Linked DNA regions of Arabidopsis thaliana. The protein of the gene in region 1 interacts with the protein of each later gene in a pairwise test. Each region holds a gene or a part of one and is shown in the gene's direction. Other genes may lie near its edges.

Region 1 (11,337 bases):
ATGATGAGATCCTATCTAATCCCTCATCTTTGGATGTTCTTCCCTTCTTAACATTTGCTTTCTGTCTCGAGAAATCTCTAAAGACGTCGCATGCCATCTGTTTTGCTCTGCATTGTTTTGAACAGAATGCCCCCAAGTATCTGCCAGATGGTTGCAACAAGGAATTTCACAAATGAAAACCATAGTAACAATACACACAAAGAATCCCTAACAATGATATATCTAAGCAGAGAGGAAAAGAAGCAAAAAACTGACCCGTACATGAAAACGTCCTCGTCATGACGTAGATTCTTCTTGCAGAAACGACATAGCTCAAGGAAGTTAGTGAGCTGAACTTGAGCCTTGTCTTTCTCTGCCGGCAACCAATCCGAAGAACCTACGTACTTTGGATGCTTCTCAGAGAAGCTTGGGGCTCGCGGTCTCTTGCTCGGAATCATTATATTCGCCATCCCTTGAGAGAGGGATTTCGGATTGTAATCGTTTTATAATCGTTTTCATGTTACGATCAAAACTCACAAAGATTTTAAATATAATAGCATATATGTAAATACGATTTTGAGGTAAAAAAGAATGAAAATAACATTTTTGTTTAAAAATTTGATGAAGTTGCCAAAATAGAGATATTAGGATCAGAGAATATCCAAATCGACATAAGTTTGTATTCTTCTAGACTTGGTGTCAATTTCTCTCACATGTGTATGTGTTGATGAAAAGAAAACGTTTTGATATTTTGTGTGGAAAGCAGCAACCCAAAGAAAAACATAAAAAGGCCGGTACGGGGGAGAATCATAAATGATGATTATAAAATCGGTTTAGTAATATCATAAACGTAAAAACGACGACGTAGCTTCTTTATTAAAACCTTGTTCTCTCCTTGCTCTTGTTGTTCCTTAACCTCGATTTGATTTGATTTGATTCAATTGTCGTCGTCCGGCAAAATCACAAGCTAACTTGTTTCTCCCGAGAGATATCTATCATCACAATCTCCTTCCTTCGTGTTCATCAATCTCCCGCCGCGCTTCAGGTAAAATTACCTCCAAATCTGTTGTTGGTTTATTATGCTAATCTAATCTAATTCTTAGCGTGCGACTTCTTCTTCTTCTTTGTGTTCCCTTTGATTTGTCTCTCTTTCGTAATCGTCGCCGGTGTCTCAGTTTCCGCTTTTGCTTTGCATTGGATTCGATTAAATGCTTTCGTCGGAGCCCAATCTTGATTCTCTCTCTCGCCTCAAGTTTTTAGGGTTTCTTTAAATCCAATTTCATCGATTATTTGCTGTGTGATGCGGCGGTGTCTTTTGAAATCGATTATAATGCTGTGTGATGCAGCTTCGAGAGAAGAATTTATTAGGTCTTACGGTGAAATAAGTTACTTCACCCAAAATCTTCACTTTACACGCTTCTCAGCTTTTTTGGTCAATTTTGGCATATTTGTATTCAAAGATTGGGCATTTGCAATTGCTTGTATCTGATGATCAATCTCATAAATGTGTTACAGACAAGAAACAATGTCTGGGCTGCTGGATGGAATCCCCGAAGCAGTGGCTCTGAGATGCCTGGCTCATGTGCCTTTACACCTTCATCCCAATTTAGAACTCGTCTCTCGCTCCTGGCGAGCTGCTATCCGCAGTCATGAGCTCTTCAGAGTCCGTAAAGAGCTCCGATCTTCTGAGCATCTCCTCTGCGTCTGTGCTTTCGATCCTGAGAACATCTGGCAAGTCTACAGTCCCAACTGTGATCGCTGGCTCACCCTCCCTCTCCTTCCTTCTCGTATCCGCCACCTTGCCCATTTCGGTGCTGTCACTACTGCCGGCATGCTCTTTGTCTTAGGCGGTGGCAGCGACGCTGTCAGCCCTGTTACCGGGGATCACGACGGTACCTTTGCTACTGACCAGGTCTGGTCTTACGACTTTGTACAGAGACAGTGGACTCCTCGCGCTTCAATGCTCGTGCCTCGTGCTATGTTCGCCTGCTGCGTTCTTCAAGGGAAGATTGTTGTTGCTGGCGGATTCACCACTTGCAGGAAATCCATATCTGGAGCGGAGATGTATGATCCTGAGAATGACGTCTGGACATCCATCCCAGATCTCCACCAGACTCATAACTCTGCCTGCTCGGGTCTAGTGGTAAACGGGAAAGTCCACGTCTTGCACAAAGGCTTGTCCACGGTGCAGGTTCTTGAGAGCGTTAAACTCGGGTGGGATGTCAAAGACTATGGCTGGCCGCAAGGTCCAATGGTGGTCGTTGAGGACGTGCTTTACGTGATGAGCCATGGGCTGGTGTTCAAGCAAGAAGGTGACACGTGGAAGATGGTTGCATCGGCCTCAGAGTTTAAGCGGAGGATCGGAATGGCGATGACGAGTTTGAGTGATGAGGTTTTGATCGTAGGAGGAGTGATCGGACCTGATAGGCTCAATTGGGACATCAAGCCCTTGTCAGATGTCGACGCTTTGACAGTTGGGAATGATCGTCCGGCCTGGAGGAGTGTGGCGCCGATGACAAGGTGTCGTGGGACGATCCTTGGCTGCACGCAGTTGACAATCTGATGGATGGGAATGTGGCTTCATTATGACGTCTTTCAGTTCTTTTTTGTTTTGTATTTTCTTCCTGTTTGTTAACTGTTGTGAGCATTATTGTTTTTAAATCTTCTTTGAGAAATGAAAATAAACGAATAGCAGCTATGTCTTGAGAAAATGTCATCAAAGCCTGGTTATTGTCTATAAACGAATAGCAGATTTATGTCTTGAGAAAATATCATTTATGAGTCTGGTGAAAAAAAAAAAAAAAAAATAGGTCTATTGATTGGGCTATATGTGGGAATGATATCAGGTTGGGTTTGGACAGGTTGCATAAGTTATTTTGTGTTGGGCCTTAAACAATCTGAAAGAGCAATATGGGTTTGAACATGGAGATATTTGGTCATTGAACAGAAAAACAAAATTGTGGTATTCAAGCTCTAAGGAGTATTTTGTAGTGTATAAGAGTAATGATTCGGATTTAAGACATGTTGACAAAGAAGCAATGATTTAAGAAAATGGACCTCTCATTATCTTGCTCATTTGCTTTCTTTATCTTTGGTAATTAGGGTGATATGACTATATCCTTGATAAACACAATATATCGGTGCCACTTTCGAATTAATAATAACCATGATTAAAGATGGCGAGTCATCAAAGAAATCATGAAATGGAAAGAAATATAAAAATTTCAGTATCGAATCAAATGAATGATTAGTGCTGATTCCACTCCAATTATATTTTATAACCTCTACGTCAGGTGGTTTAGAAGGAAATCAATCTATCAAGAGTCACGTCTATGGATTGGGAGTCAAAACATATACGTATGCTTCTGGTAGTAGTCGTAGTGATTAAGGGATCAAAGTTGTTAGACTGAATGGGTTACAAACACAATTACGGAATCGATGGACACACTCATTACATTAAAAAGAAATAGCACATTCAATGGCATATATGGATGAGTAGTCGCTATTTGTTTCTTCTTATTTGTAAGAAAATTAATCAGATGGATATTCACAAAATTAGATTTATCCGAAAGAAAAAAAAAAAAAAAAAGAGAAACCCAATTGAGGCAAGAAGAGACCTTGAGGCATGAAAACAAGACACAAATACACAAAATTTCCTTGGCTAAACAAAACATAGAAAATAAAAGCTTGAATCGACAGGGGGAGAAGAAAAGGCCAATATGATCACAACGTCATAGAAATAGCGAAAACCGTAGAGGAGGAGGAGGAGAGGACCTACACACTCCTGTCCACATCCTTTTAGCCCCACCGTGGGTCTATCACTAATTCCTTCCTCTATCGTATTATATCCGAATACGTTACTTTTCTTTCCCTACTAGGCTACCAAGTAATATTTATGTTTTCTTTTGCGTTGATTATTTGTAAGTGAAGTTATGATTATACATAATCTTGCAACTTGAAACTCTTTTTGTTTTTTCTTGAATCTTGGTATGAATCAGAAGTTGACGAGCTTAAACAATGAAAATGCGATAGTTAGATGGGATTCGAGAAAAACAAGATCAACAACAATAAAAGTGGTTCGACGAGTTATATAACTTTTTGGGTCAAATAAGTGATTATTATTATATAATTTGTCTTGTAATGGAGTAAAACGCATCAAGACCATTCAATCAAACGTTTACTAGTAGACAAACACACGTGGCGCTTATCTAGAACTTAATTATTGGATTAAGCAAAGCAGGTGCAACTGTGGACCCCCCTCTGATTACATTTGTTTTTTATCCACAAACTGTTTATAAAATATTTAGTAGTATAGATTAACATGTACATTATTCACTGATTATTGTTCCTACATTTTTAAATAACGTCACTGATTCTTTGATTAATAAAACAAGAAACCCAAATGAAAGTGAATTATGATTTGAGAAAGACAAACGAAATAATGACAAAATGCCGTATTATATAATAATGGATACAAATTGTAAGAAATAAATAACTCACAGTTTTTTTTACAAAAATGAAAAATAGTAGTATAAAATAAAAGGAGAGCCTGTGTTTCAGAGGCCCAAACATCAATGCACAAATAATGAATGTATCGCCGTTCAAGTGTATACCTAATAAACTAAATAAAAGTTTGTACATGCAACAAAAATAAAGAGAGAGTACAAATTCGATAATCTTGCAAAAGATGTTTCCAATCTTTTATCGTCGACCCAAAATGTAGTATGTTGTTGTTAAAATACACGACGACAAAAAAAAGAGAGTACGATACACATTCAATCATATCCGGTCCCTAATATGAATAATGGATCGAAAATAATTGAGATCTCTATGTGTTAATAAATGTAAGGGGTAAATCCGTAAAGTTGCATGCATTTCTTGGTTAAATCTACAACGTCCCGTCTCTCGAGATCACTCTCTCTCTCTCGCTCTTTGGAAGGAATAAAGAAGAGAGGAAAGAGATAAGTGAAAGCAACTTTTAATCTGATTTTTGCGAGTGAGGAGAGGATCATCATTTCATAGGAGTGAGAGACCCCATTAATACCAGAAGCAGTCAGAGTTTCTCAATAATTGTACCAAATTCTCTCTATTCTTCTTCTCTTTCATTTTAGATATTTTCTCTTACGCAGACTCATTGCTTTCCTCTCTCCATGGAAGCTACTGAGTTATGATCCTTACCCTCACCGGTCTTTAACTATGCTTAGAAACAAACCTAGAGCAGCCGTGACGACTAAGAAACAAACATCTCTGTTAATGGCTGATCAACCTCCACCTCCAAAGCCTAACACTTGCCACTGCTCACCATCTCTCTTTAGCTCTCCCAAGTTTAGGTTTTTCACTTCTAAGATGATGATGACTCCCTTTGACTCTGATTTCTCACTCGTTAGCCCTACGTCTATACTCGAAGCTAACCCATCCATCTTCTCCTCCAAAAACCCTAAACCCGTTTCCTATTTCGAGCCAACTATCCCTAATCCCCAGCGTTTTCACTCTCCAGACGTCTTTGGCCTAGCCGATCTCGTGAAAGACGGAGACAGTAACAGAGACCACTCTAGAAAACCTGTCAACAAGATGGTCCTTTTCGGGTCAAAGCTCAGAGTCCAGATCCCATCATCAGCTGATTTTGGAACTAAAACCGGCATCAGATATCCTCCTTGTCAACTTAGTCCTTGTGTCCAAACGAAGGTCTTAGCAGTGAGCGAGATTGACCAGACGGAGGACTACACGCGCGTCATCTCTCACGGTCCTAACCCAACCATCACTCATATCTTCGACAACTCTGTTTTCGTGGAGGCTACTCCTTGCTCTGTTCCTTTACCCCAACCAGCCATGGAGACCAAGAGCACCGAGAGTTTTCTAAGCCGTTGCTTCACCTGCAAGAAGAATCTTGACCAGAAACAGGACATCTACATATACAGGTTCGTACCTCCACAATCTTTTATCTATGTATTTGACTTTAATCAGATCATAGAGTGGTTCCAAAACTAAACTTAATCACAATGGTTGTGGTGCAGGGGAGAGAAAGGTTTTTGCAGCAGCGAGTGCAGGTACCAGGAGATGCTTCTTGATCAAATGGAGACCTAGCTAGCACTCCTTCTCCATCTCTTTTCATTTTTATTGATTTTGTCACAGCATCATCTACTTTTGTATTATTCTTTTAGTTCTCTGATGCTTCTTCTCTTTCTTTCTTTTTTTGGGTGGGGGTATTTGTATTTCTAGTCATAACCTTTCTCGCCTGCAGATATGTGAAAGATAGAGAGAGAGTTGATAACTTTTTTCTTTGTGTCATGAGAGTGAGTGACTCGGAGGGCTCAATAATATCATAAACTTGCAGAATACTGCCATCTGAATCAGAAAATATCAAAAGCATCAGTCTTTTCCATAACCTAACATTCGTCGTGGCTCTATGCGGTCTTGTAGAGGGAAAATGTTATTGCTATAAGGCCATTTGCTTTTTGATTTAATTTTGTTAACTTTGACAGCGCCAAGTTACAACAATATATCAAGTTTTGTTACCGTTTACCTCAGATTCTGAACTCAGACTCATTTTTCAGTCGAGAAAGGTTTCTGGGAAGCCATTGAACTCGTGTTTTTATCCTGTGAAATGAGTCTGATTTGGTGTTTACAAGTAAGTATATAATAACTCTAATCGCAATCAAACCAAACCAGATCAAACCATAGATGCAGGGGAGGGGATTTTGAGTGGTTAAATATCGATGGGCTATATCATGCATAATTAGGCCGGTCCCTAATAATACGGGCCAGATATGGGCCGTTTCTAATAGGGTCCGCAAGTAATGAGGTTAGAGTCCCAGGGATGATTGCATGTCTCGGTGGCGTGCCCAATTTGCAAGACAGATAACTAAATGTTGAGGACCCTCATCACTTTTTTTTTTTTGGAATAGACTCGTAAATTTAATATCAGAGCAGCTAGAAGGCCCAATCTCACGGAACCATTTAATTGTAAAAACAAAGTGTGAAGTTGTGTCAGTATCATGTTTAAGTTTATTATTCGAATCAGCCAGTACCTTAATATATGCAACATGGATGTTGGAGTAGATGTTAAGACTAATGAGAGGAAGGTCGTATATACTAGATATAGCCATATAGGAGATACCAAAATTAATCTGGTAATGTGTTCAGACTCTGAGTCTAATGTCAGCTTTCTGCATACTCTATAATAATCATGCATGATAGTATTTGTTGTGAATCAAGTGATTTATGAAGAATGAACAATTGAAGATACACATATGAAGAAACAAAGCTGTCAGTCATAAAGTAAAATAAATAAAATGTACTGTCCCTTTGGGTTTCCCGTGACACACATAGTAGAAATTTATAAGGAATCATTTGTAATAATGAATCTTTTGTTTTGGTAAATCATTTGTTGTAAGAAAAATGTTACAAAAAAAAAAGAAGAGGAAGAGATCTATCAATAGAAAAGTTGGGCCGAATGGTGGTGGAGGTTTCCGCCAGAGGTTCTCGTCCGTATTATGTTCATTGTCGTCGCTATGCGACAAAAAACTATTTTTATGTAACAAACAGTGTAACACACAAGTTGCCTTCATTTGTAAAGAAAAATAAAAAAGGATTTGAAGAAGACAGACAAGAAGATCTTAGCAAAATCCATTACATTTGCCCCTGACTTCACTTTTATATTACAGATTCGACTTCCTTTCTTTTATTTTATTTAAACACCATTTTAAGCAAACAAAAATAAAAAAGCAAAACTTATGACAAGTACAAAAACCCACACGTGTGCGGTCAGGTCTATTATACACATGACGGTGCCGATATTTCCTTCCTCTTCTTTTATTTTGTCAACCACTTGTATTTTTCTCTTTTATAAGTTTTAGATTATAAGCATATGTACAATTTTTTGCCAAAAAAAAAAAAAAAAAAAAGCATATGTACTATTTAAAATATAGCAGGTTATTTACTAATCAGTTACACAGCAAAAATATAGTTAAGTTCGTGATTGTGATTAAATTAATACCTTAACAATTTCAAAACTGAAATTTGTATGACTTATGCATTGATTTTAAAAACAACACGATTATTTTGCTGCATATACATATAGTAGAAATCAATTATTGTACGTTCACATTCAACAAAAAAAGTAGTTCGATTAATAAATAATATATGGACGTTCTTTCATTATTATATGTTCTATAACTCGCATTATTGGATCCATCAAACATTCGACTTTATATTTGAAATTAGTTGTTGGCTGGTTGACTCGTATTTCTTTTTCATACTCTCTCTACTGTATTTGTTGTTCGTTGATTTACTACTTACTTATACATCAAATGCTTGGATCACTTGTACAAATAAATCAATCTGCCATACTCGTATATTGTAACGGATAAATTCAAATATTTATATCTTGCAACAGTTGAATACTTTTTCTTTTTCATCGGCTTCATTTTTTTGTTCACTATTGTTTTCTTTATATTAATTGAAGAAGGGCCACAAACATTATACTTTATTTATTTGGGGCTTCTTAAATCTCATCATAGCCGATTTTGGGATTAACTAAGCACATCATAAAGCTAACATATAATCACTATTGTTATTATTTAATAAAGAAATAAAAACAAACGAGAATCTTTTCATCTTTGACGTTTTTGAATCTCTCAATCGCCGCCAAAATGATCCGTTATGTACTTATACAACAACGCTGCAAAACGTTATTTCTAAAACATTTGTACTTGGATAATTGGATTCTGTACACATCTATATTCTTTTTCTTCTTATACGCATTATCTCATATATATAACGTGATATTATATAAAACAATATATTATGACAAACTCTTAATTATTTTACTTTTTCCATATAAATATTAGTACTTGATTATTCTTTGTATGGTCGATATACTGAATATCGAAATTTGCATTGAACACTATTAGCAATCTTTATATTAATGTTATTTTTTATTTATTTGATATTTGAAATAAAAAGAAAGATATTTAATCACATCATATAGTTGGAGTTATTAATTACACAAGGACGCCACATTTGCATTTAACGGGGGCTACGTGCTTCGACGCATTGATGAGTAATTTAAACAGAAACACAACTTTAGGCTTATTAATCACATTTTAATGAATTATTGTTTTTAATCGTTTTATAATATAGAAATTATTTTCATTTTTCATTATGATTGTTGTATGCTATCTTCAAATATCATCCCGCCTAGGATCGTTATAATGGCTTTGCAAAAACACGAATTTTTAAAAGAAAGAAAAGTGCATGGTCGAGCTTTAGGTTAATTTATTTTATCACTTTGTATGCAGAACGCATAATTGTGATATAAAAATAATATTGAATAAAGCGTGGTATTGGTGGGCGAATATGGTCCCAAATAATTTCGTGTTCTGTTCTTATATTTTCTATTTCTGCATATTTTTTTATCACTCCCTTTTAATTTATCATATTATTTACTTTGTCAAATGAAAAAAAACAAGACAAAAATATTCAATTATCCAACCTATCACCATATTGATGACTTTAGCCGTACCATAGAACTCCAAGGAAATTCTCGAGACTTGATTACTGCCACTTCTATTTTTATTTAGCCTTTCTTCTTTGAAGAACAATAAAATTGATAATGTCTTATATATTACCCTGTATGTGGAATTCAATCACAGCTATGAATTTAGAAGACTTTATAGGTTGCTTATATATTTCTTAAAAGAGTTGTCGGTAATGGAGAGGAAATAAAAAAAGAAAAACGAACGGTCCATGAGAGGTGACCTTGAGATTAATTAATTAAGTAAGAAAAGTTGAATAATTACGTGGTCATCATCAGATAATGAACAGTGTCTCCCACCAACTAGTACTTATCTCCATAATTAATCTTTCTTTCTATTTTAGTTTTGTTATATTGTAGTTTTTACTTATTTATGCTTCTTTCTTGGTGGGATGTATTTTGCATAGCCAAACCGACAAAGTTAAGATTACAAATTAAAGATTAGTAAGCACTATAGATGAAGTCTTAATTAATGCACAAATTATATGATTATGTGCTTATGATGTTACTGTGCCTTCAATCTATTAAGCTCATAGTGGCTCTACGGCACCCACTCAAACCTTTTAACTACCGGCTACTTAGCCTATCTCATTTCCAAAACCTAATAAATTTGATCGGACACTTAAAAAATCAAAATAATCAAATTAGGTGGGTGGGATAATCTTGTTTTATACTAATATTAATTTAAATATATGGAATGGGCAAGACATCAGTTAATTAATAATCTTCCTATATATTAAATGATTCATGATTGTTCTCCTTCGGTGACACCTCTGCACATTTTAACTGACATATTAATTTTATTTATTAATTAACTTAAAAGATAATTTATAATCTATGTTAAAAAATTGTAGAATATTTTTTTGTCAAATTATTTTAATCCAAACAAATTTTGACCTCATATATTAATTCAAATATCTCGTAAATTTTAGTTGTGGTCTACTGAAAGATATCTTTTATGCAAATTTGACGACATAATTAAATAATATGACTACATCTAAATAATTATAGGAATAAAAACAAACAAGTTTAGACATATACCAAAAGATTTTGAAAATATAAAAAACGAAGAAACAACAATGAAATTTTAACATCTTTTTTTTATATAAAAAACATCATAAAAATTAAAAGTTCTTATATAAATTGGTCTCTTAAGCAATGTTGGGATACAAATTTGTTCTCTTAAGAAACAAAAAAAAAAGCCACACAAAGGCATGTATTTACGAAAGAGACATGCTTCATCATATAATATGCATATATGTATATGCTTTGGCAACAAAAATAGAATCGAAGGGATGAACAAAAACAAAAGACTGAAAAAACAAAACAAAAGATTGAATCGAAGTATATATATAATTTTAATAACTCTCGTAATTTTCGTAGTTTAAACTATTGTCAAATGAATATCGTTGTTTGTTGCATATTTCTGAAAATAAAATAAAATTGTTTTGTCGCATCCTTGTTAATTCATTGTATCTGCCTTACAAAAATTGAGTGTTTAATTAATACGTACATATTCTTTTTCTTTCTTTCTGTCAATCATATTTACAGATTCTGAAATCAAATATCAAATAGTACTTGACTTGTTTCTTAAATATGATAACAAATAAATAAATTTAATAAAATTATTCTCGAATCAAACGACCGACAAAATTATACACTATACGGCAAACAAAACATTCCTAAGATTTGTGGTTTGGAGTTAGATACGACATCATCAATATTTATACATCAGTAACTCAGTTCCATTGATTTAAAAGTTTTAAGAAAGAAGAAATTCTTCTTCTATTTAATTTTGCTTATTATGTTTTGTTGACGAAAGA
Region 2 (11,192 bases), on another chromosome or scaffold:
AACAAAGGCTCAAAGCTCGCTCACATCTGTACACATATGATGATATGATCTAGTATTTGTATCATATATATGAGCATGCATGTGTATGCACTGATGCACATAACACAGACTTTAGTAGAGTATCCTAGTATCTTATGCTCAAACAATTGTGCTCCAAGAAAAGAATAATGATATAGTTTTTAAAACTTGGAAATTTCACAGAATCTATAACTTAATAAGTATAGCAAAATATAAAAAGAAACAAAAAAAGCCGAAAAAAGAAAACATATTGAAAGGGAAAGATGATATGTCACTACAACAAGACACATTACCCTTTATTGTTTGCTTTTTACTTTGTCTGGTAGACCAAAATCTAGGACTAGGAGGGATGGGAAATGTAAATTTTAGTCAGTATTAAATGTTTGGATTGTGATATCGTCTTTACTTATCGAGCATGATTTTTGCCAAATATATCTCCTATATATGAATGGACACGATCAAATTCAAAGAAACCTTTTGATTACATCGCATGTTATTAAAAAAGCTTAGCAAATCCTATTTTTATTCGTTTACGATTTTAAAGTAAATAATATAAACTCAATCTACTCTACCTTTTTCGGATATTTAAATGTAAATCACACATACACAACTTACTCTATTAAACAAGAGAAATACGATTTATGGATTCAAGGAATTTTGTTGGGAATTTGTTCAATTTTACGGTATACAAAAGAACCAAACCGAAACCAAACCGAATTTTAAGATGTATACTAAACGATGCCGTTTAATATATAGGAAAAAAGCGGTGTATAGTCGTCGTTTCTCGTTTAAGCTGATTTTAGTTTCCGTCGCCGGCTAAAAAGCTCATTCGACGCCGCCTGAGCTTTGAGTTTTGACCCGATTCTGACGTCTTCTTCAATGGCTAATCTCCTCAGAGTTCTTATGGTTAGTGAACTGGGTTCTCCTATTAATCAATTTCGATTCTACTTCTCCCATCATTATTTCTTCATCTCTTACAATTCTTCTTTTCATCAGGTGGCGGAGAAGCCCAGCATTGCCCTCTCTATAGCTTCAGTTCTCTCACATGGCCAGGTTTATATACCTCTCTATCTCTATCGATTCTCTAGTTTCTAAAAGCCTAACTGCAAGTAGCTTTGATTTTAGTACCGGAACTGTTGTGCGTTAATTCGATTCTTGTTGAATTAAGAGATAGAATCAATTGAAGTATGCTCAGCTCTGATGGATTCTTTAACGTAGCTTTGTTGACTGGATTTCACTTTTAAAACTTCAGTATCCTTTAGAGGTTAAAAACCGAATCAGTTGTGTGTGTTCCAACTTGGATATCTTTCTCCTTCTGATTCAGATGTCTACAAGGAGAGGCAGTACAGAGGTGCATGAATTTGATGGCATGTTTCGAGGCTTCAAAGCACATTATAGAGTTACATCTGTTATCGGTCATGTTTTCAGGTTCTCTCTTGCCTATCAATCATATTCAAATCAAAGAGTCATCTGCTGCTGCATAATCACACTCCCTGTATAATACGCATATTCACGTTTCTCTTTTTCTTGCTGCCCTCGCGAGTTTGGAAAATGGTTTTCATCTTTCATTATCTCTTGGACTATATCTCGTGTACAAAGCTGCTGTGAAAACCATTGCTTGCAGACATTCCAAATATTTCAAAGCAGATTTCTCAGTCTTTCTAAATACCACTCTCATATTCTAGTGTAGATTTCCCAGAAAAATATCAGAATTGGGCAACTATTGATCCACAAGATCTTTTCGACGCTCCAATTATTAAAAAGGAATCAAACCCAAAGGTAAATAGTTCTCATGATCTTATCTCTTTTCTTTGTGCATGGGGAGTGCTTTAGCTGGGTTATACGTATTGTTAGTAGTAGAGATGCATCTTTCTAGTAGTCATATGTTTCTTGTATTCTTTTATTTACGGTATTACACTTTTCTCTAACAGTCTTCAAATCTCAGGCTCATATTTGTAGGCATTTAAGTAATGAAGCTCGTGGTTGCAGTTATATGGTGTTGTGGTTGGATTGCGATCGTGAAGGAGAAAATATATGTTTTGAAGGCAAGTCTTTAGCTACCGTTTTTCATTTTTGTTCTCACCAGATTTTTCGCTTGAGACATACAAAATTACTGTGCCTAACCATTGCATCCACTCTGCTGGTAAATTTGATTCAGTGACTAAGTCTTCTCTGTTTTTACTAAATCAATCTGTATATGATGCCAGTATCCAATGGTAGACCCTTTAAGTTGTAGTAGTAGATTGGGTGTTTAAGTATACAGTTAGCCCCTGCATATGTGGTGCAACCACCAATATCTTAATCTTTGTTCTCCTGCAAAAGTACCTTTTGCATGCCGATTATATTTGGTAATGCACATGGCCGTTGCTTTAACTTGTTGACCATTAAATTTTTGTAGTTATCGAGTCTACTGGCTTTGACATGAAAGATAGTAAGAGAAAGGTTTATCGGGCACGGTTTTCTTCTGTGACTGAGAAAGATATATCAAAGGCCATGGACAACCTTGTTGAACCAAACAGAGATGAGGCACTGGCAGTAGATGCTCGTCAAGAGATAGATCTAAAAGTTGGTGTAGCATTCTCGCGATTTCAAACAAGTTATTTCCAAGGCAAATATCAGAATCTAGACTGCAGAGTTATCTCGTCAGTTTCCTCTTGTCTCCTTCCTTTCCTCTCTTTTTGTTCTGTGTAAAGAGTCGCTGAAAAGTAGGGTCAACTTCTTTCTTTAGTCCAAATGCATTTTTTTTCTTTTTTCCTTGGGGTATTTGGTACAATTGATCATATAAGATGCAGCTATGGAATTCTGTTGTGGTTATCTCCTGTCATTTTGAGTGTCAGAGTAATGCATTTCATGTAAATACTAAAAAAGAGTACAGACATAGCTTTGTAAGACTTAGGCTTGTATGTTGTTTATCTTTGTCGAAGCACCTCTTTATTTCTCATGATAGGACAAGAAATGAGTTGTCGTGATTCAATCATGGTTCTGGTTCTCTTGGGGGTTTAAATTCGATCATCTGTGTTTTCCGTACTAAGTATTCCTCAGAATGCTCGAAAGAGTGTGCGTGATTTTCTGTCCATTCCGTCAGATTTCACATTCAATAGTAGTTTTTTCTGTTAACTATATTGTCAACTAGATTTTCCCATCTTTTTTATGATACAAGTCACTGTATCCATCTGGTTTAAGTCTTTTAACTACTTAAAGATCCTTTTGAATGTTTATTTCAGGTATGGGCCATGCCAGACACCTACTCTTGGGTTTTGTGTGCAACGCTACATGCATATTAATACTTTCAAGCCAGAAAAGTTTTGGGCTCTGCGACCTTATATAAGAAAGGATGGTTATGAGCTCCAACTAGAGTGGGAGAGACGAAGATTGTTCGACCTGGAAGTTAGTGTCTCATTCTTGTCTTAGAATTTCTTTGACATTCTTGACTGTTGCTTTCTAATCTTATGTTGCTGATATATATATGCTTTAACAAATTATAGGCTGCTACTGTGTTCCAAAAGTTGGTCGTGGAAGGAAGAACTGCAAAAGTAATGGACGTATCAGAAAAGCAGGAAGTCAAAGGTCGCCCAGCTGGTCTTAACACAGTGAATTTGCTAAAGGTCAGAAAAGTCAGGAGTCGTGATTACCATTCCTTTAAAATGAACTCGCCTGGTTGTACATTATACTTTAAGCAAACACCATATCATGTACTAATGATCGCAGTACACTGACTGAAAAACTGAAATATTCTGCATCCAAAGAAATTTTGTTTATATCAGCTTCATAATTGTTTTTGGGGATGAGTTGGCAACAACATTGGGATCTTCGTTCTCTTCTTGTTTTGTTAATTCTGTTTTTAATGTTGGGATTAGAGCTTTGCCATTGCTTAGTCTTGTTCACGAGTTCAAAGGTCAATAAAAGCTACTTTTATGCGAATTACTCTCCTGATCGAGCATAACATTAGTGGTTACACAGGTTGCTTCAAGTGCTCTAGGGTTTGGGCCTCAGACGGCTATGCATCTTGCAGAGCGATTGTATACTCAAGGTTTCATCAGGTTCGATTGCTCCATTCTCCAGATTATTATTTTTGTCATTTAACTCCTCTTTACCAGCGTATAATTGGCTAATTTTGGTAAATCCCAATTCGTTATTGAATGGTAGTTTTGTTTGTTTAATTAAGAACTGGTAGATAGGAAATGGAAAAAACCGTCGCTGACGAGAACATACATACATCACAATTTTCGCTGTATAATTTATTTAAACATTTAAAGTGACGGAAACTTTTGACTCAAAGTCCTTTGTTTTGTGCTAGCTATCCCCGCACAGAAAGCACAGCCTATCCTTCTTCATTCGACTTCACAGACACACTCAGAGCACAAGTTAGTAATCCAGTATGGGGTGGTTACGTACAGAGACTGCTCTCAGACGGATTTCATATGCCAAAGTCAGGAACTGACGCTGGAGACCATCCTCCTATCACCCCAATGAGAGCAGCAACCGAGGTCATGGTCGGAGGAGATGCTTGGCGACTCTATCAGTATGTCTGTCAACATTTTCTTGGCACTGTTTCACCTAACTGCAAATACATAAGGTAAATAAAGCCTTGTTTGTAGCTTAATCCATGTCAGTTACAGCTTATTCTTTGCACATTTTAAATGTGGTATTCTCTTGGATGGGTATCTCAGGACTAAAGTGGAATTGTCAATTGGTGGAGAAACTTTCCATTGTACGGGGCAGCGTGTGACAGAAAAGGGGTTTACAGCTATAATGCCATGGTCTGCAGTAGATGAGAAAAAACTCCCTTCTTTTCTCAAAGGAGAGAGGATTGAAGTTTTAAGAGTGGAGCTTTACGAGGTCACATTCTTCTCCAGTTTTTGTTACTGCTCTCTTTGCTTTGTACTAGGACACAAATTACTATAATGTTTCCACTTTTAGTTTATTTTTTCTGTTTGTATTTGAATGTTGTAAAATCTACAGGGGAACACTGCGCCTCCGGACTACCTTACTGAGAGTGAGCTGATATCTCTCATGGAGAAGCATGGCATAGGCACAGATGCATCAATAGCTGTACATATAAACAACATTGGTGAACGTAATTATGTTCAGGTGGGTTAACCTACCCAAAGGCGGTGTGCTTTTCTTCACTGTTACAATGTTACTCTCTCAGGAAGATCCTTTTTTGTTTTCTGAAAAATCTCATTACTCTTGTTTGGTGCTTACACACTTTTGCAGGTCCAATCTGGGAGGAAAATGGTTCCAACGGCGTTAGGAATCACGCTAATAAGAGGCTATCAGTGTATTGATCCAGACCTTTGCTTACCAGACATCCGGAGTTTTATCGAGCAACAAATCACTCTTGTTGCCAAGGGCCAAGCTGATCATTCACACGTTGTGCAGCATGTGATTCAGCAATTCCGGCGTAAATTCAGTTATTTTGTTCAACAGGTTGGGAAAACCTGGCTGATATTATGTTTTCTTCGGAGGCATTTACTGATATTGTCTTCGATTTAATCTGTTCCTCCTTAACATCTTTCGTATATTGTCCTTTCAGATCGAACACATGGATGCCCTCTTTGAAGCACAGTTCTCTCCTCTGGCTGATTCTGGTCGTGCTTTAAGCAAATGTGGAAAATGCTTGCGTTACATGAAACATATCACAGCAGTCCCACCACGTCTCTTCTGCGGCACATGCGAAGAAGTTTATTATCTTCCTCAAAAGGGCACAGTCAAGGTAAAACCCTTTCGTCACCTTAACCCTTGAGCTGAAACCTCAGTGAATCTCTAGTTTTTCTTATCCTTTGCTAACGGATTTTCTCACAGCTATACAAGGAACTCACATGTCCTTTAGACAACTTTGAGCTCGTGATCTATTCAGTTCCAGGACCTGAGGGGAAGTCATTTCCACTATGCCCATACTGCTACAACTCTCCTCCATTTGAAGGCATAGACACACTTTTTGGAGCCTCTAAGACGCCCAATGCTCCTGCCAAAACCAAAACCGGTGCAGGCATGCCATGTTCTCTCTGTCCTCATCCCACATGCCAACACTCTGTCAGAAACCAAGGAGTCTGCGCTTGTCCAGAGTGTGAAGGCACGCTCGTCTTGGACCCGGTTAGCTTCCCCAAGTGGAAACTCAACTGCAACTTGTGTAGTTGTATCGTTTTGCTTCCGGAAGGTGCTCATCGCATCACCACCACTAGTAACCGCTGTCCCGAGTGTGATTCAGCCATCATAGAGATCGATTTCAACAAGAAAACTACTCCTCTGGAGAACGGAGCCACTCTGCATCAAGGATGTGTTCTATGTGACGAGTTGCTTCTCTCACTTGTAGAAGTGAAACATGGGAGGTCCTTTGTGAGGCGTGGAGGAAGGGGAAGGGGACGAGGGAGAGGCCGAGGCAGAGGAGGGAGAAGAGGCTCAAAATCTGTCGACCCAAAAATGAGTTTCAGAGACTTTTGAAACTCTAAACTTTGTGTTTATGTCTTTGCGTTACTTGCATATCATTGGAAATTCAAAATTCTGAAATACTGCCTGCGTTTCAAGGAACAGTTTATAATCTTTTTAGCTTTACTTCGATTTTTTCCACATACACTTATCTAAAACAGCTCCCCAAAACTTTTAAACATTTGACTAATTCTTGTTTATGCCCTAAAGAAAAGCTAAAAAACCCAAGTGTAATCTTTTGGGCTTGTCACGTGTCACATGTCATGCATACAATCTTTCCTTTTTTAGATCATAACAACATAGTTGAATGCATGATCTATTCTCTTTGCAATTACTCTGTTTTTTGCTTGTTTAAAAGTTTTTGAAGAGGAAGAGCAAATCATTGATTAGGAAAATGGAGAAAGCAGTTCACTCGTCGACCACGTCTGGACCGGCGGTTCCAGGGGAGACAACAAAGACCGGAACCTCCATAATTGACACTGCAGCCTCCGCTGTTCAAAGTTTTGCACCGGTTAACCAAATCCACCAACATCTCTGCGCGTACGTAAAACCCGATCTTTGTCAACTCCACCTCTTTTTAAGCCTCTTAGATTTGTGATTCTCACTATGAAAGTAAAAAACATATAGCTACTTGTTTTGAATATATATATATATATATATATATATTTTGGGCCAACAAAAAATTATGTGTAATCAATTTTAACTAACAAGGCACCAATGAGCAATCTCGTCTAATTTTTTTATTCGTGATAAATTCTATTTCGATTTGGTTTAACCGTATTTACAATGTTACAGAGAAGGCATGTTATTTAATTTCTTGTGATGGCAGGTTCCATTTCTATGCTGACGACATGGCACGACAAGTAGAGGCTCACCATTTCTGCAGTCACGTGAACGAAGAGATGCGTCAGTGTTTGATCTACGACGGTCCGGATGCAAACGCTCGTCTAATTGGATTGGAGTACATAGTGTCAGAGAAGCTGTTCATGACTTTGCCTGACGAAGAGAAGAAGCTTTGGCACTCGCACGAGTGGGAAGTGAAAGGAGGGTTCTTGTTCATGCCTGGTGTTCCAGGTGCCATTCAGCGTAAAGATCTTGATAAAGTCGCTAAGACTTATGGGAAAGTTTTCCATTTTTGGCAAGTTGATTTGGGCCATGAGCTTCCCATTGGTTTACCTAATGTCATGATGGCTGTTACACGCGATGGCCAGCTTTTCCACGAGATGATTCAGGGTACGTAAGAAAATTCGTATATTAGTTATATCATGTCTTATATTAATGTGAGATTTCTTGTGGTTTTACATTTTAATTTTCTTAGAAAAAACAATAGACAGTGTTTAGTTTAATGTTGAAAAAACGGTCTAGGTAGTTATGACTATTATTTTTTAGGCATTGAAATTAAGCGTTTTTGTCATAAAACAATTATAGGCTGTCTATATTTAACTCTTAACCAATTATCGTTTAATTGTCAATTATTTGCTCGTTGACTTTTCAATTTATATTTATGTAGAACGGCGTCTAGACATGTTTAGCTAATGCTCCTTTTATTTATGGCATAATGTAGTAAAGACTAAAGATCATTGGTAGGTTATGCTTGGATTTGGGTATGGATTCAGAGACAGATAAGCGGTTTAGGGTATCAATAGAGAAACAACCTAGACCGGTTTAGCTAGCAATGGCATTGATATGGCACACTGTAGTTAGTATATATCATTTGTAGTTGATCGGATTTGGATTTGATGATGGATGCAGAGGCAGAGAAGCGGTTTGGGGTATCGGTAGAGGGGGAGAGGGACTCACGGGCGTATATGTCTGGACCTGAGCTCGGGATCCATCCATTGGCGAATGGAGGAGGCAAAGGGATGAAACTAGAGCTACGAGAGGTCGATATCAAGCCGGTTGAGTCTGTCGGCAGCGTCTTTGTCTGAGTTTACTTAAAACCTCTAATAATGCCCTCAAAGCAAGCAATGTATGTTTTGGTAAACACAAAACGTACGGAACTAGACAACAAGATTACTTAAAATAGTTTGGATTATTTCTTTGTGGATCTTATTTATAATTAGTAATAAGATAAGAAATAATATCTATAAGAAAAGGTTAACTAATTCACATGAATTAAATTAAGTAACCATGAAAAGCAATGTAGTAAACAATTTAGTTAGAAAGGTTGATATATACTATTATATAATTCAGCTCCGAGCAATAGGAATCAGACTCGAGAGCCATACTACTCTGACTTGATTTTTGGAAATAAAAATCACAAGAAGAAGTTTCTAACCACCCTACGTATGTATATGATTATAAAATTGAGATTATGAAACATCATGACTTTTATTCCCCAATCAAAAAATTCCTCTGTAAGACACCACACCAAAATATTTATTAATAATATATTATTTGCGTGTGACTTTCTGACATTTTTCTCTCTAAACTTTGACATGGATCATCAAATCAAGAACACCATGAAGAACAACAACAGTTCATCAGTTTCAATCGAGAATCATCCATGGAAGAAAAAACCAACCACTCTTTTACTTTTCCTTTCTCTTCTCTCCATCTCTCTGCTTCTCCTTCGTCTCTCCCAAGACAAAATCATACTCATCACCACCACCAAAACCACAGCCACCACTGGAACCGATCATCAACGCAGTCACAAATCTTCTGAGGACGATACGTGTCTCGGACGCTACATATATATCCACAATCTACCTTCTCGATTCAATCTTGAAATCATCAAAGATTGTAAGTCTATTACAAGACCAAAGGACAAAATCAGTATGTGTAAGTATCTCGACAACTCCGGATTCGGACCTTTGATCGGCGGTAAAAGTTCTGACTACTCTCCGAGCTGGTACGCTACTAATCAGTTCATGCTCGAAGTGATTTTTCACGAGAAAATGAAGAGTTACGAGTGCTTGACGAGAAATTCTTCACTGGCTTCAGCTATTTACGTACCTTATTATGCTGGCCTCGATTTCCGGCGACATTTACGGCGGCGTAACGTTGCTGCGAGAGACGCCGCCGGGAAGGAACTTGTTAAATGGCTCAAGAAGCAACCTCAGTGGAAAGGTACGCGTGTTTTACTTTTTAGTATTATTTCGTTTTGGACCCCTAATATTTTCAATTGTTTGCAATTACTTCTTGCTGTTTCGATTTAATCAATATTTACTCGAAATTATTCAAAGCTAGCGATGACTTTTCCACCGACGACTTTTAAATGAAAACCTTTTTATTCTCGAATAAATGTAAACCTTTTTAAGTACTCTTTAGCTTTCACAAATAAAATAAAAATTATATATGAAACAACACAAAATATTCTATAAACGTAGCTATCTTATTTATTGACATCCTATAATATATTGGAAGTGAAATTTTAGTATAACATTAAAATCCTAATTTTAAAGGTTTTTAAAGTATGTCGGTCAAATAACTTTTTTTGACATAACTACAAAATAAAGTTCAGTTATTACTAATAAAAATATAGGTATATTCTACCATTTCCTCGTAATAACTGACAAAATTTTGCAAATCACCCAATTTAAATTTAAATTTGATATAAATTTACAACATTCAATTTTTTAACGTGTATTTTTGGTCCGTCCGCCAAATTTTCTTTTTGACAAAATAGCCAATTAAATTAAATATTTTGTTTCTTTTATCTCTAATTGAAATTAAATGCAGATATGTCAGGTAAAAACCATTTCCTTGTAACCGGTCGGATTTCACGAGATTTCCGGCGAAACTCCGGCAGTAGGTCAGCATGGGGAACCAACTTCATGCTCTTATCTGAGTCGCTAAACCTCACTTTCCTCAGCATTGAACGAAGTCTAACGAGCCACAACGAGTTCGCAATTCCTTATCCTACTTACTTTCACCCTACGTCAACCCCCGAGATCCTTCAGTGGCAAGAAAAGATCAGGCTTACAAACCGGACGGTCCTCTTCTCATTTGCCGGAGCTCAAAGACCAAGCAGAAACCAGAACGGTGTGGTTCGCACTGAAGTTATAAAACAATGCAAGAGTTCATCTAAAACGTGTAGGTTTCTTGACTGTGACGTCAATGCAAATAGCTGTGATGATCCGATCAGTCTGATGAAACTTTTCGAGAGTTCGACTTTCTGCTTACAACCGCCGGGTGATTCGTTGACCAGAAAATCGGTATTTGATTCAATCTTGGCTGGTTGTATACCGGTTTTCTTTAACCAAGGAAGTGCATACAAGCAATATTTATGGCACATACCTAAGAATAGTAGCAAATATTCTGTTTATATAACGGTTAAGGAGCTGAGAACCGGTGGAAAGAACAAAATCGAAGAGATTTTGCGTGGAATACCAAATGAGAGAGTGGTTGGTATGAGAGAAAACGTAATAAGATTGATTCCGAAGATTGTGTATGCTAAACCAAACCGGAACAAACCGGATGGAGAGATTCTTGAAGATTCTTTTGATGTTGCTGTGAAGGGAGTGCTAGAGAGAATAGAAGGGATAAGGAGAAACGAATTCAAAACTGATTAGCAAATTTTATAGTTAGCCTAAACAAATGAAGATGTCCTACATTTGTTATTGTATTTAATTGTTCATAGGTCTTGTACAAAGATAAGTCTATCAAACATGGCAAACTTTCTCCCCAATTTTAAAACCTTTTGATATGCGAAAATTTCAGGATCTATGATGTAGTAGGATACGTATGTCTGTGAATGACCATTTTAATGTCCCCTTTGAGACTCTTACGCTTAGGGAGAGAAA
Region 3 (10,770 bases), on another chromosome or scaffold:
AAGCGAACAAGTTAGCCTACCACAAGACCCAACTCCAACATATTCAAAAGTGGTCTAAACAAAAAAGAATAAGCTCTGAACCATCGAGCACCACATAAGCCAAACCCTCCATATACAAACCATTGATCTCAAACACTGAGCATCAACACCAAAACGACTTCTCACTATCAAACAGAATACAAACCTCTTTCTTCAACAAACACACCATTCATCCAATAAGGATGCCCCACAGCCACATAGGATTGAGACCGAGACGCCTCCGTAACACTTTGGGCGATGAGGTTTGCTCCTCTGTTTGCAGCAGAAAATTCCAATTCCACCTTCCACACCAAAAAAGGTAACTATGATCTATTTAAAGCCACACTCTGAGCTTTAAAAGAAGGCCACGCCCTTGGTCTCAACACTGCACCAATCAGAGACTTATCTTGAAAGGCAAAGATAATATTATCAATTTTATGACTGGCCATACTCTCCATAGCCCATAGGAGACATCTGAGCAAAGCATCAGCCTTGCTAGAGATAGGAGCAAAAGAACGTCTACTGTGTAACAACACTATACCATCCTGATCTCTTAAAACCCAAGCCCCTCCAGCAAAATTGTTTCTTTTTTACCAAGAAGCCCCAATGTTACATTTAACCCAATTCGCTGGAGGTTTAATCCATAAATTCTCCGATACACTGCCTACAAAATGAACACCATTACTCAGGGGAGGATTAAGGGCAGAACCCTCACCATCTAAGCATTGAGCTTCAAACCATTCCACCACATCATCCCTAATCTTTATCACTGTATCAGTAGCTGGGTAGCTTATCCCCTCAAAGATGAAAGAGTTCCTATTTTTCCAAATCCTCCACAAAATCCATGGAAAAATTTTCCTGAGGTTAATAGGCCATTCTTTATTATCTTTGTTCTCCAAGAGATGATTGATGTTGGAATAAATAGAGCCGTTACTAAAACCATCAGGAGGAAAAGGATAATCAGAAAGAGCCCAAATTTGTCTAGAGAGTGGGCATAGAAACAAGGTATGATTCGTCGATTCCCCAAGCTCACCACAGACCTGACATGTGGTATCAACGACATTCCTCTACCATTCAAGTTCTCGGCAACCGGAAGAATACCACTAAGCACCTTCCAAAGAAAAATCTTAATCTTTGGATCAGTCTGAAGGTTCCACACCTGAGTTTTCAACCCTAGAGTAGAAGGCTGCATAGAGACTTCGCTTCTCAGATTTTGGCTCTTTGTTTGATAAGCTAACCAATAGGCAGACTTGACAGAAAAATCTCCACTTTTATTTAACTTCCAAACGAAAAAATCTGCTTGAGATATCACTGGTTTAATAGCTTTAATTCTGAGAATGTCTTCTGGCAGGAATAAGTCATGAAGAACCTCTTCATCCCAAAACCCCGTTCTTGGGTTTAACAAGGCTTTAACTTTTAAAGTCACATCATATATCAGGTTTTTTCTCCAAGGGGCCCTAAAACCATTATCATCTATCCAGGGATCTATCCATACAAACAAAGAGGCACCATCACCTACCCTTTTTTGAAGACCTTTAGACAAAAGCTCTCTGCCAAAAAGAATGCTTCTCCAACCAAAGGAAGGTCTCTGACTCAAAGCGGCATCCAGAAAATCAGTAGCATCAAAATATCTACTTTTCAACAACCTAGAAAGGAGGCAATCCGGGAAATGAAGCAGCCTCCACGCTTGCTTCGCTAGAAGAGCCTGGTTGAAAGACTGGATATCACGAAACCCCAAACCACCACTATCTTTTGGTAAACACAGCCTTTCCCAACTTTGCCAATGAATCTTCCTTGAATGATCACAAGAATCCCACCAAAAAGATGCCATTGCACTCTCCAAATTTTCACAAGTAGTAATGGGAAGCTTGAAACACGACATAGCGAAAACCGGCATCGCTAAAGCAACAGATTTAAGTAATACCTCTTTACCCCCCTGTGAAAGGCATCTGGTGAACCAAACATCCAGTTTCTCTTTTAATCTATCCTTCAAGTAATGCAACATATCAACCTTTGACCCACTAAAGCATTCTGGAAGCCCCAGATAGGTCCCAGCCCCACCCTCAGTGAAAATTCCCAAACAAGTCCGGATAGTACCTTTCAATTGCTCATCTACCTTTTCACCAAAAGTAATTGAAGACTTGTTCAAATTAATAGTCTGACCTGTCGCATTACCATACACCTTCAAAATCTTTTGTAAGACCAGACTTTGCTCTCTTGAAGCTTTGCATAAGAAAAGACTGTCATCAGCAAAGAGCAAGTGATGCACCATAGGGCCATTCTCAGAAAACTGAATTCCTTCCAGAGCTCCTTCCCATTGAGCCTTATTGAGCAAATGAGTGAGACCCTCAGTGCAAAGAACAAAGAGAAATGGAGATAATGGGTCACCCTGTCTCAAACCTCTTTGAAGGATAATCAACCCAAAGGGACAGTCATTAATCAAAACAGAGTAAGTGACAGATGAAACACAAACCATGATCCAGTTAACCCATTTCAGATGAAAACCCAAAGACAGCAAAAGGGATCTCAAATAGCTCCACTCCACACGGTCATATGCTTTAGACATATCCGATTTTACAGCCATAAACTCTGAAGAGATACGCGGGTGAACCTTCAAACTGTGAACCAACTCATGAGCCACCAAAATATTATCAGTAATCAATCTTTCAGAAACAAAAGCAGATTGAGTATCAGAAACAATCTCAGGGAGCCATGGTTGAAGTCTCTTTGCCATAATCTTTGAGATTATTTTGTACAGGACCGAACAAAGACTGATCGGCCGCAAGTCCACCATTTCTGTTGGGTGTTGAGTCTTTGGTATTAAACAAAGGTGGGTATAATTCCACTCAGCAGGCATAATACCATCAGCAAAAAACTTTTTAACCTCTGATGTAACCTGATTTCCAACAGTGGACCAGTAGTGTTGAAAAAACAAAGCAGACATACCGTCTGGACCAGGGGCACTAGCTGGCTTGATAGAGAAAACAGCCTCTTTGATTTCCTGAGCACTAACTTCTCCAACAAGACTCTCATTCATAACTTCAGATACTCTCGGCACCAAACCTGAGAACCAATCCGTAAAGCCTGAAGGGTTTGAGGACTTAAACAGATTCCCAAAATAAGCAGCAGCCACTTCCCCTTTTGCTGCCTCTGAAGTTTGCATGTTACCATTCACATCTTTCAGCTTTTCAATTCTTTTCCTTTGCCTATTCTGTTTCACAGCAGCATGAAAATATTTAGAGTTTCTATTCCCACTTCTGAGCCATTTCTGTCTACTCTTTTGCTTCCAATAAGCCTCCTCTTCTCTATAGGCTTTTGCTAGGTCCTTCTTTAAAACAGAAACTCTTTGAAAAATCGGCCAGACCAAAGACTGTTCTTTTTCCAGAGCAGCCTCAAGTTGATTGATTTTATCAAGGGAATTTAGGTTATTTTGTTTCTTCCAAGAACTCAGGGACTTTCTGCAAGCACGCAATCTATCTGCCACTGATATGTTGGTTCCGTGTTTGCCTCTACTCCAAGTTCTGATAATAGCTTCTTTAACATCTTCTTTAAACAGAAACCTCTTATCAAAACGAAACTGCCCTCTATAAGAATCTTGAGACGACATCAGCTTTATCAAAACCGGTCTATGATCTGAACCTCGAAAATCTAAAAAGGTTTGATTAGAGACCGGGAAGAAACAGAACCACTCCTTGTTACCAAAAGCCCGATCTAATCTGCATTGAATCCAGTGATCTCCTCTCCTTCCAGCCCAAGTAAAACCATTACCATGAGCAGGCATTTCCACAAGGTCACAACCTTTAATCATCTCATTAAAGGCTTTACAATCTAAATCACTTCTTCTCGGACCTCCATTTTTCTCACCATTATGAAGAATGTCATTGAAGTCACCAAACATACACCATTTATCCCTTCTACCCACTCCAATCCTTGAAATTCTTTCCCAGGCCTGACTTCTTTTACTTCTATCTGGGTCTCCATAAACACAAGAAACACAAAAATTAACAGCTCCAAACTGTACTTGAGCATCCATCAGGTTCTTATCTACAAACTTCAGATCCACCTGAACACTACTCTTCCAAAGCAAAGCTAAACCTCCACATTTTCCAACCGGCTCAACTGTATATACTTGGTCATATTCCAGCCAGCTTTGAATATCAACCAAATCATCTCTTGAATGCATCGTTTCCATCAAGAAAAGCAACTCATGGAAGTGTTTTTTACGCAGCTCCTTGATCACGTAGCTAGCTGCTCACATGAGGGCTGAGTTTTTGACCTCATACGGTATATATGAGATATTCGACCAAAAATTAAAATCGTACAAGAAAGAATTTTATCCCTCAATTAAGACCAATAGAGTCGAAACTTTTTCAAAAACTAAGCCCGCGAAAGACATAAATATATTCGGAAAACTAAGTCCAAAATTATAAGCGAACTATAACCAAAATATATAACCTAACTTTTACTTCGTAGCGCAACAACTTCTTAGTTTGTACTATAGAAAACATTGATGATTGCATCAAGTCATTTTAGAATGTCTAGCAAATTTTGGTGAGAATTTGATGAAAAGAATTTTGGTAAGTAATGAGATTTCAAAATAGCTTATTTGGATGCTGATTTCAGTAATGAGTTTTGCATAATTCTACCGAAAACTGCTCTAAATAATTAATTGACCACATTGAACTACGAATCAACAGTATAAGACTCAGTTGAAACTCACTAGTCACTACTACTTTATGGTGTGGATACAACCAATTTTAAGCTCCATTTTCATAGTGGCATTTGTCCACTAATGTTTTTACTAAAATTATTTGATTGTTCAACTTCTTGTTACCCAAGGAAAAAAGTTTTTACAAAATCTTAAAAATACCAACCAGCAACATAGAAACGATGGAACAATCATTTGTGAAATGTGATTGGGAAAGCTAATGAATTGAAGTGGGCACAAAGGCCCACAGACAAGTTGGGATGGAAATGGAACAAAAGTGGGCAGATGTCATAATCACTCAACGAATTAAAGACAAAAAAAGATAAAATATGGAGACACCATTATCTCTTTGTCTTTTGCCACGATCCCAAGATTGATTTTGCCCTGGCTTGAATTGTTCCACACACACAAACCCCTCTATGAAGACTCATCCGATGGTAAAACAACGGAAAATATCATTGGTCACGTACGTTTTATAGCTGCTAGCAACAACAACAATGACCAACGATATTTTTCTTTTTCGTTTTGTAGTTGTTAGCAATTAATGGCAACGATTAACTTTGGTTTGTTTTACAGTCGTTGGTTACTCGGTTCACTCTAGTAGTTTTGGTAACAAAGTTTAGTGATTATGACAAAATTTAGCGACTAGTAATAAAAAAAATTGATTACTAACAACGTTTTCATAGAACAAGAAAAACATAACACCTTATTTTTCACCGCACGAGTGATTTGGTAACATACCACACAGAGACAGTATCGGAAAAAAGTTTTTTTTAACAAAAACTTTGCAAAAAAAAGAAAAGTTAGATAGAAATGAGACAAAGAAAGCAGAGACTTTAAAATCACATGTGATATATCAGAAAAAACACAGCAAGAAATGTCCACATCCAAAAGTAAAGGTAAAGCCGGGGGAATGAATGTATGGGCTCCATGCAACATTATCAAATTCGTTGCTCTCTATTCGTTTTTTCCTACTATATAAGTGGCCGAGTTCAATTATTAAATGTTCATGAAAATATCCAAATTAAATGAAGAACTCTGACGAGTGCTATAAATAATTCAACAATATTATGTTTGTTTTTCTAACTATAAAACATACAATTTGTTTATCTGCTTTCTTTTTTCTTATATACAGATTTCAATTTTCACACATCTAATTCAAATCTTTTCAACAAATCATGACTATTCAACAACTTCGAAATGTTTTCAAAACTTATTGATGCGACAAAGTTTATCTATAGCACATCACAATGAACGTATAATAAACACTACTTTCGAAGACGTGCATACCAACGCCTATACGGCTACATCTTTACGAACACTGTAATAAAGTAATTCAAAATATTTCTTGGTTCTATTTCTATATATATTTAAGAAAAAGCAGAGTACTTTACTTGATTAATTTAGAAAAAATAATACTACTATTTGGCTAAGTGCCCCTAAAAAAATCGTTGAACTATAGAGAAAAAAACAGAGGTCTAAAAGTCTAACTGGCAGACACTTTTATTCTCCCATGTGTTTCACCAGACACCATCTCCATCTCTCCAACATTTGCGTTTCCACATTTGTTTAAACATAACTCTCTCTCTCTCTCTCTCTCTCTCTCTCTCTCAGTACCTCTTATTCTTATGCTCTTCTTCACCAATCCTATCTCTTCTATCTGTCTTTATTTTCTCTACATGTGAATTGACCCATTTCTGGTAAACACATAGAGTACCACTTTTCTTATTTAGATTCTTCTTCCTCTTCATAGCTTCCAAGTCAACTACTTCAGCTTCTGTCGGCTGTCTCTTCCCAGATCTCGTAAGCACAGTACCCTCCAAACTTCTTATCTCTCTCTGTCTCTCTCTCTCTCTGATCTTCGATTCTTGTTTATATTATCCTTACTACTTCCTTGGATTAAAACTTTAAAGCTTCATTTAGATTGGTCTTCTTTATGCTACGGACTTGCTGATTCTTGTCCGAATTCAAGAACTTTGTTTTTAGGTCTTGAACCAAGTTGTTAACTCTGTATAAGTCTTTACTTGCTTCTTTGCTCAATATCTTAGATTTATAGATTCGACAAGTTTTGTTGTTCTGCTTTGACTTAATTATGATTTCAGGTTAAGACCAAAACTTGGAATAAATGACGGAATCTGATGATGCCTCACGAGAAACACCAGCCAGCAGAGGAGGAGAAGCCTCGTCAAATCAAGATCTGTCCAAACCAGAATCAAACCATGTTTCACTCGATCTCAAGCTCAACGATACTTTCAACGATGACACAAAGAGCACAAAGTGTGAAGCAAACCCAAGAGTCTTCTCTTGCAACTACTGCAGACGCAAGTTCTATAGCTCTCAAGCTCTTGGAGGTCACCAGAACGCACACAAGCGAGAAAGAACAATGGCCAAACGAGCAATGCACATGGGAAGAATGTTTGGTCACCATCACAGGCCTTACACATACACTTCTTCTTCCCTTGGGATGCAAGCTCACTCCGGTTTACTTCATCACACCTTATCTCAGCCTCAGCCTCTTGTTTCTAGGTTTCATCATCAAGGGTATTTTGGTAACACCGTGCCGTTGTTCTTTGACTATGACGATGGTGGTAGCGACTTCTTCTGGCCCGGCAGCTTCCGTCAGGTGGTTGAGGAAGCTGAGGCTCCGGTGGTTGTGGTGGCTAGTACTGAGTCAGGCCTTGATTTGAACTCGGTTGCGGCAAATGGAGGTGTAGATAATAATAGCTCAAAGCCTGATCTTACCTTAAGACTCTAAAAGGATTAAGGAGATTATATCTTTATTGTTATTTTTCTATTGTTAGACATACAGAAGATAAGTTGGAGACAGTTGATAGAAATTGATGAAAAACTTTGTTGTTATATTAAATGAGGTTGTTCATTACATTACGGTTTCATTCATACCATTATACGAGCTCCCACACCAGTTAAATCATTAACTATTTTCATCTAGGAAGTGAAAAACATTAGTATGTTCGGTGGAAAAATTTTGTTTCGTTCATGAAAGATTGAATCATTTGTATGTCTTCTCGCGGAAACTGAGCCAGACATGCCAAAACGTCGACCAAAGTAGATTTAATATTTGGACACCTGAACATACTAACCGATTTAAGCCATCTTATTTATCATGCATATCAAATTATGTCTTAACCAGAATCAACTTTAAGACATTGATGTCTCCATTATTTGCAAATTCATTACAAGTTGTTTTCTTTTCTTGCATGTTTGTGTCTTCACTTCCATATATTTATTCCTAAAAACTAAAGTTTTTTTGCTAAGAATTCCTAAACTAAAGTTGCTTACTCTGAAGTTCCAAATAAATAAATAAAACTCTGAAGTTCTAATGAATTTTGTTGCCATATATGCGGTAAATTCTTGTGATTCATTTTTTCTCATATGATCTATATTTTTTTTTTGGGGGCAAAATTAATCTGTATATATTGTTTACATAACCTCACTAATCAAAGCTTATTTGTTTACATGGTCAAAATATGAATAAATTTTAAAACTTTGACTAGACAACCAATATTAAAATTGAGCATCTTTTATTTTATAAGTTCTTTTTTTTTTTGTGCAAAATTTTTATAAGTTCTTTATACGAATAAATCAAAGAAAACTACATATAGTAAAAGTACGACCAACTCAAATAATTGTAGGATGTGTGATAAAGTACATATAGCGTATCTAGTTTCTTTTTTGAAGTACAGAGTATAATCTATTAACCAAACATTTTTAAAGTAATATATAGCTATGTTCAAAAGAACGAAATAATCCGTAGACCGTGATTGTGCCGAGATTAGTGGGAGACATTCGGACGAAGTTGGCTTTATACTATTACAAAATCATTATTTACGCTACTAAATGCAAGTAATCAACATCAAGTGTATATTTATTTCGTCCTTATACACCCAATTGCTTGTTTAAATATTAATAATCATTTTGACTTTGGAATGATAATTATAAAGTTCTGATTATGATGTTTTAACAATTCAGAAACTAAATAATCATACAAAATCTGTTATCATGTAAAGGTTATTAGAGAGAAGCGGTCGCTACTCGATATTGGAAGAGCAGTACTTACGCATGACACAAAAATGTCAAATATTTATTTAATTCATATCCATATTTTAATTACGGATTTACATAAAACTGAGAGAGTTTTTAGGAAATCTTCCAGATTTAGTTGACAAAATTTCCAAAATTAGCTAGCGATCAAGAGAATCATCCGCTTCCTTTGGGAAACACACAAATACGAATATCTCTCTTAATCCGATTTTCTCTTCTCATTTGTGTGATTTTGGAACAATAACAATATGTTCAACAAAAACCAAGGATCCAACGGTGGTTCATCTTCCAATGTCGGCATCGGAGCTGATTCACCTTACCTTCAAAAGGCACGTTCAGGCAAAACAGAGATCAGAGAACTCGAAGCAGTTTTCAAGAAATTCGACGTGAACGGAGATGGTAAGATCTCGTCAAAGGAACTTGGTGCAATAATGACGAGTCTAGGTCATGAGGTACCAGAAGAAGAACTAGAGAAAGCGATCACTGAGATAGATCGTAAAGGAGATGGTTACATAAACTTTGAAGAGTTTGTGGAGCTGAACACGAAAGGTATGGATCAAAATGATGTTTTGGAGAATCTGAAAGATGCGTTTTCGGTTTACGATATCGATGGGAATGGTTCGATATCGGCTGAGGAGTTGCATGAGGTTTTGAGGAGTCTTGGTGATGAATGTTCGATCGCGGAGTGTAGGAAGATGATTGGTGGTGTTGATAAAGATGGTGATGGTACGATTGATTTTGAAGAGTTTAAGATTATGATGACTATGGGATCTAGACGTGATAATGTCATGGGAGGTGGTCCGAGGTAGAGTTTCTTTCGTGGACACTGCTGAAACTGAATTCTCCGTTTCTTCTTCTTTTTCGTGTTCTTCCTTTTCGTCGTCATTGTTTATTATTCCACCATTGTTTCAATCTTTTTTTTTTTTGTTGTTGTCTTTGTTCTTTGGGATTTGTAATTCCCTTCAAGATAACGTGATTTTAAAATTTTAATTTATCTCTCTTTTTTTTGTATTCAGTTCTGCTTTGGGACTTGATTAATTTGAATGCATATACAGTGAAAATTATGTGAATAAATAATAACCACAAATCTCATTTCTTACTCTACATTATAAGCTAATTTCTTTGACATATGTCTATTGCATTTGTTTCGAATGCTAGTTTTTGGGTTTGTTTTTACACCTAAAAATTATCCCTTTATTATTAAAAGGGAAGTACAAATTGAAATTTTGTCTAATTTGGCCTCAATTTTGATTTTAATTTTGGATTTTGTTCTTTGCTATTCCAAATCATTAAGGGTAATTTGGTCTTAACAATCTTCTAAATTTTATATGATTCGATTCAATTTAAACCGTTCAATAAAATTAATTTCCTTCAATCTAAACCGCTCAACAAAAATAAGGAATTTATGTCGTTTTTGAAATCAAAATATGATCACATTTCATCCCTAAAAACACTATTCAATCTCAAAATCAATAATCAATAATATTCAAATCATATATTACGATTCTTCACTAATCATTAGAAATTTATATTTATAAGTTTAGGGTACCAAATTTATTCAAATATTTAGTATAAGAACCAAATATGTTGATAATCGAACATCAAAATGTAACATCTGTTCATCTTTGTCTTTAAGTTTTTACAAATGCTTTGAATGGTTCCAAATTTGCAATGAACAAAACGATTTTTATTTACCGTTTATGAATTTTGGTTCGCAACAAACTAACATAAAAAGATGAACTCATTTGTAAAATTTTTGGTGTATGCATATTAAAAAAAAATGATTTAACATAACTAAATTTTGTAAATTTTTAATACAAACGCAAACGTTATTTTTTTCAAAAGCCCATTTACGACGAAAAACTAACTAACAAGCCCATTAGTTTTAGTATTCCTTTTAACAATGGACCCAGGCGCCGAATAAAAACTAAACCCGGTCCGGATCTTAATCCTCTAGCAACAGTGAACCGGGTCCGCTTCGT

The links.
Region 2: the proteins of AT3G63210 (region 1) and AT2G31985 interact in a two-hybrid assay, tested with the Arabidopsis thaliana proteins (one large-scale study listed by BioGRID).
Region 3: the proteins of AT3G63210 (region 1) and ZFP7 interact in a two-hybrid assay, tested with the Arabidopsis thaliana proteins (one large-scale study listed by BioGRID).

Annotation. Positions count from the first base shown.
Region 1 is NC_003074.8:23,348,745-23,360,081, reverse strand, and holds AT3G63210 (mediator of aba-regulated dormancy protein (DUF581)), read left to right. Parts: upstream 1-4,601; 5' UTR 4,602-5,175; coding exon 5,176-5,897; intron 5,898-5,977; coding exon of another isoform or gene 5,978-5,993; coding exon 5,994-6,063; coding exon of another isoform or gene 6,064-6,091; 3' UTR 6,092-6,568; downstream 6,569-11,337. Other genes in the region: AT3G63230 (senescence-associated-like protein (DUF581)), read right to left, coding at 53-140, 256-449; AT3G63220 (Galactose oxidase/kelch repeat superfamily protein), read left to right, coding at 1,484-2,542; AT3G63215 (uncharacterized protein), read right to left, coding at 5,742-5,852, 5,978-6,091. UniProt on the Arabidopsis thaliana protein: May act as an adapter to facilitate the interaction of SnRK1 complex with effector proteins, conferring tissue- and stimulus-type specific differences in the SnRK1 regulation pathway. Involved in seed dormancy control.
Region 2 is NC_003071.7:13,611,269-13,622,460, reverse strand, and holds AT2G31985 (lipoprotein (DUF1264)), read left to right. Parts: upstream 1-6,768; 5' UTR 6,769-6,841; coding exon 6,842-6,987; intron 6,988-7,276; coding exon 7,277-7,680; intron 7,681-8,199; coding exon 8,200-8,375; 3' UTR 8,376-8,533; downstream 8,534-11,192. Other genes in the region: AT2G32000 (DNA topoisomerase, type IA, core), read left to right, coding at 898-924, 1,015-1,071, 1,343-1,446, 1,704-1,797, 1,964-2,063, 2,417-2,660, 3,243-3,405, 3,504-3,623 and 7 more; AT2G31990 (Exostosin family protein), read left to right, coding at 8,772-9,516, 10,129-10,961.
Region 3 is NC_003070.9:8,722,720-8,733,489, reverse strand, and holds ZFP7 (zinc finger protein 7), read left to right. Parts: upstream 1-6,277; 5' UTR 6,278-6,529; intron 6,530-6,828; 5' UTR 6,829-6,851; coding exon 6,852-7,481; 3' UTR 7,482-7,701; downstream 7,702-10,770. Other genes in the region: AT1G24620 (EF hand calcium-binding protein family), read left to right, coding at 9,037-9,597. UniProt on the Arabidopsis thaliana protein: Acts as a negative regulator of abscisic acid (ABA) signaling during germination and early seedling development.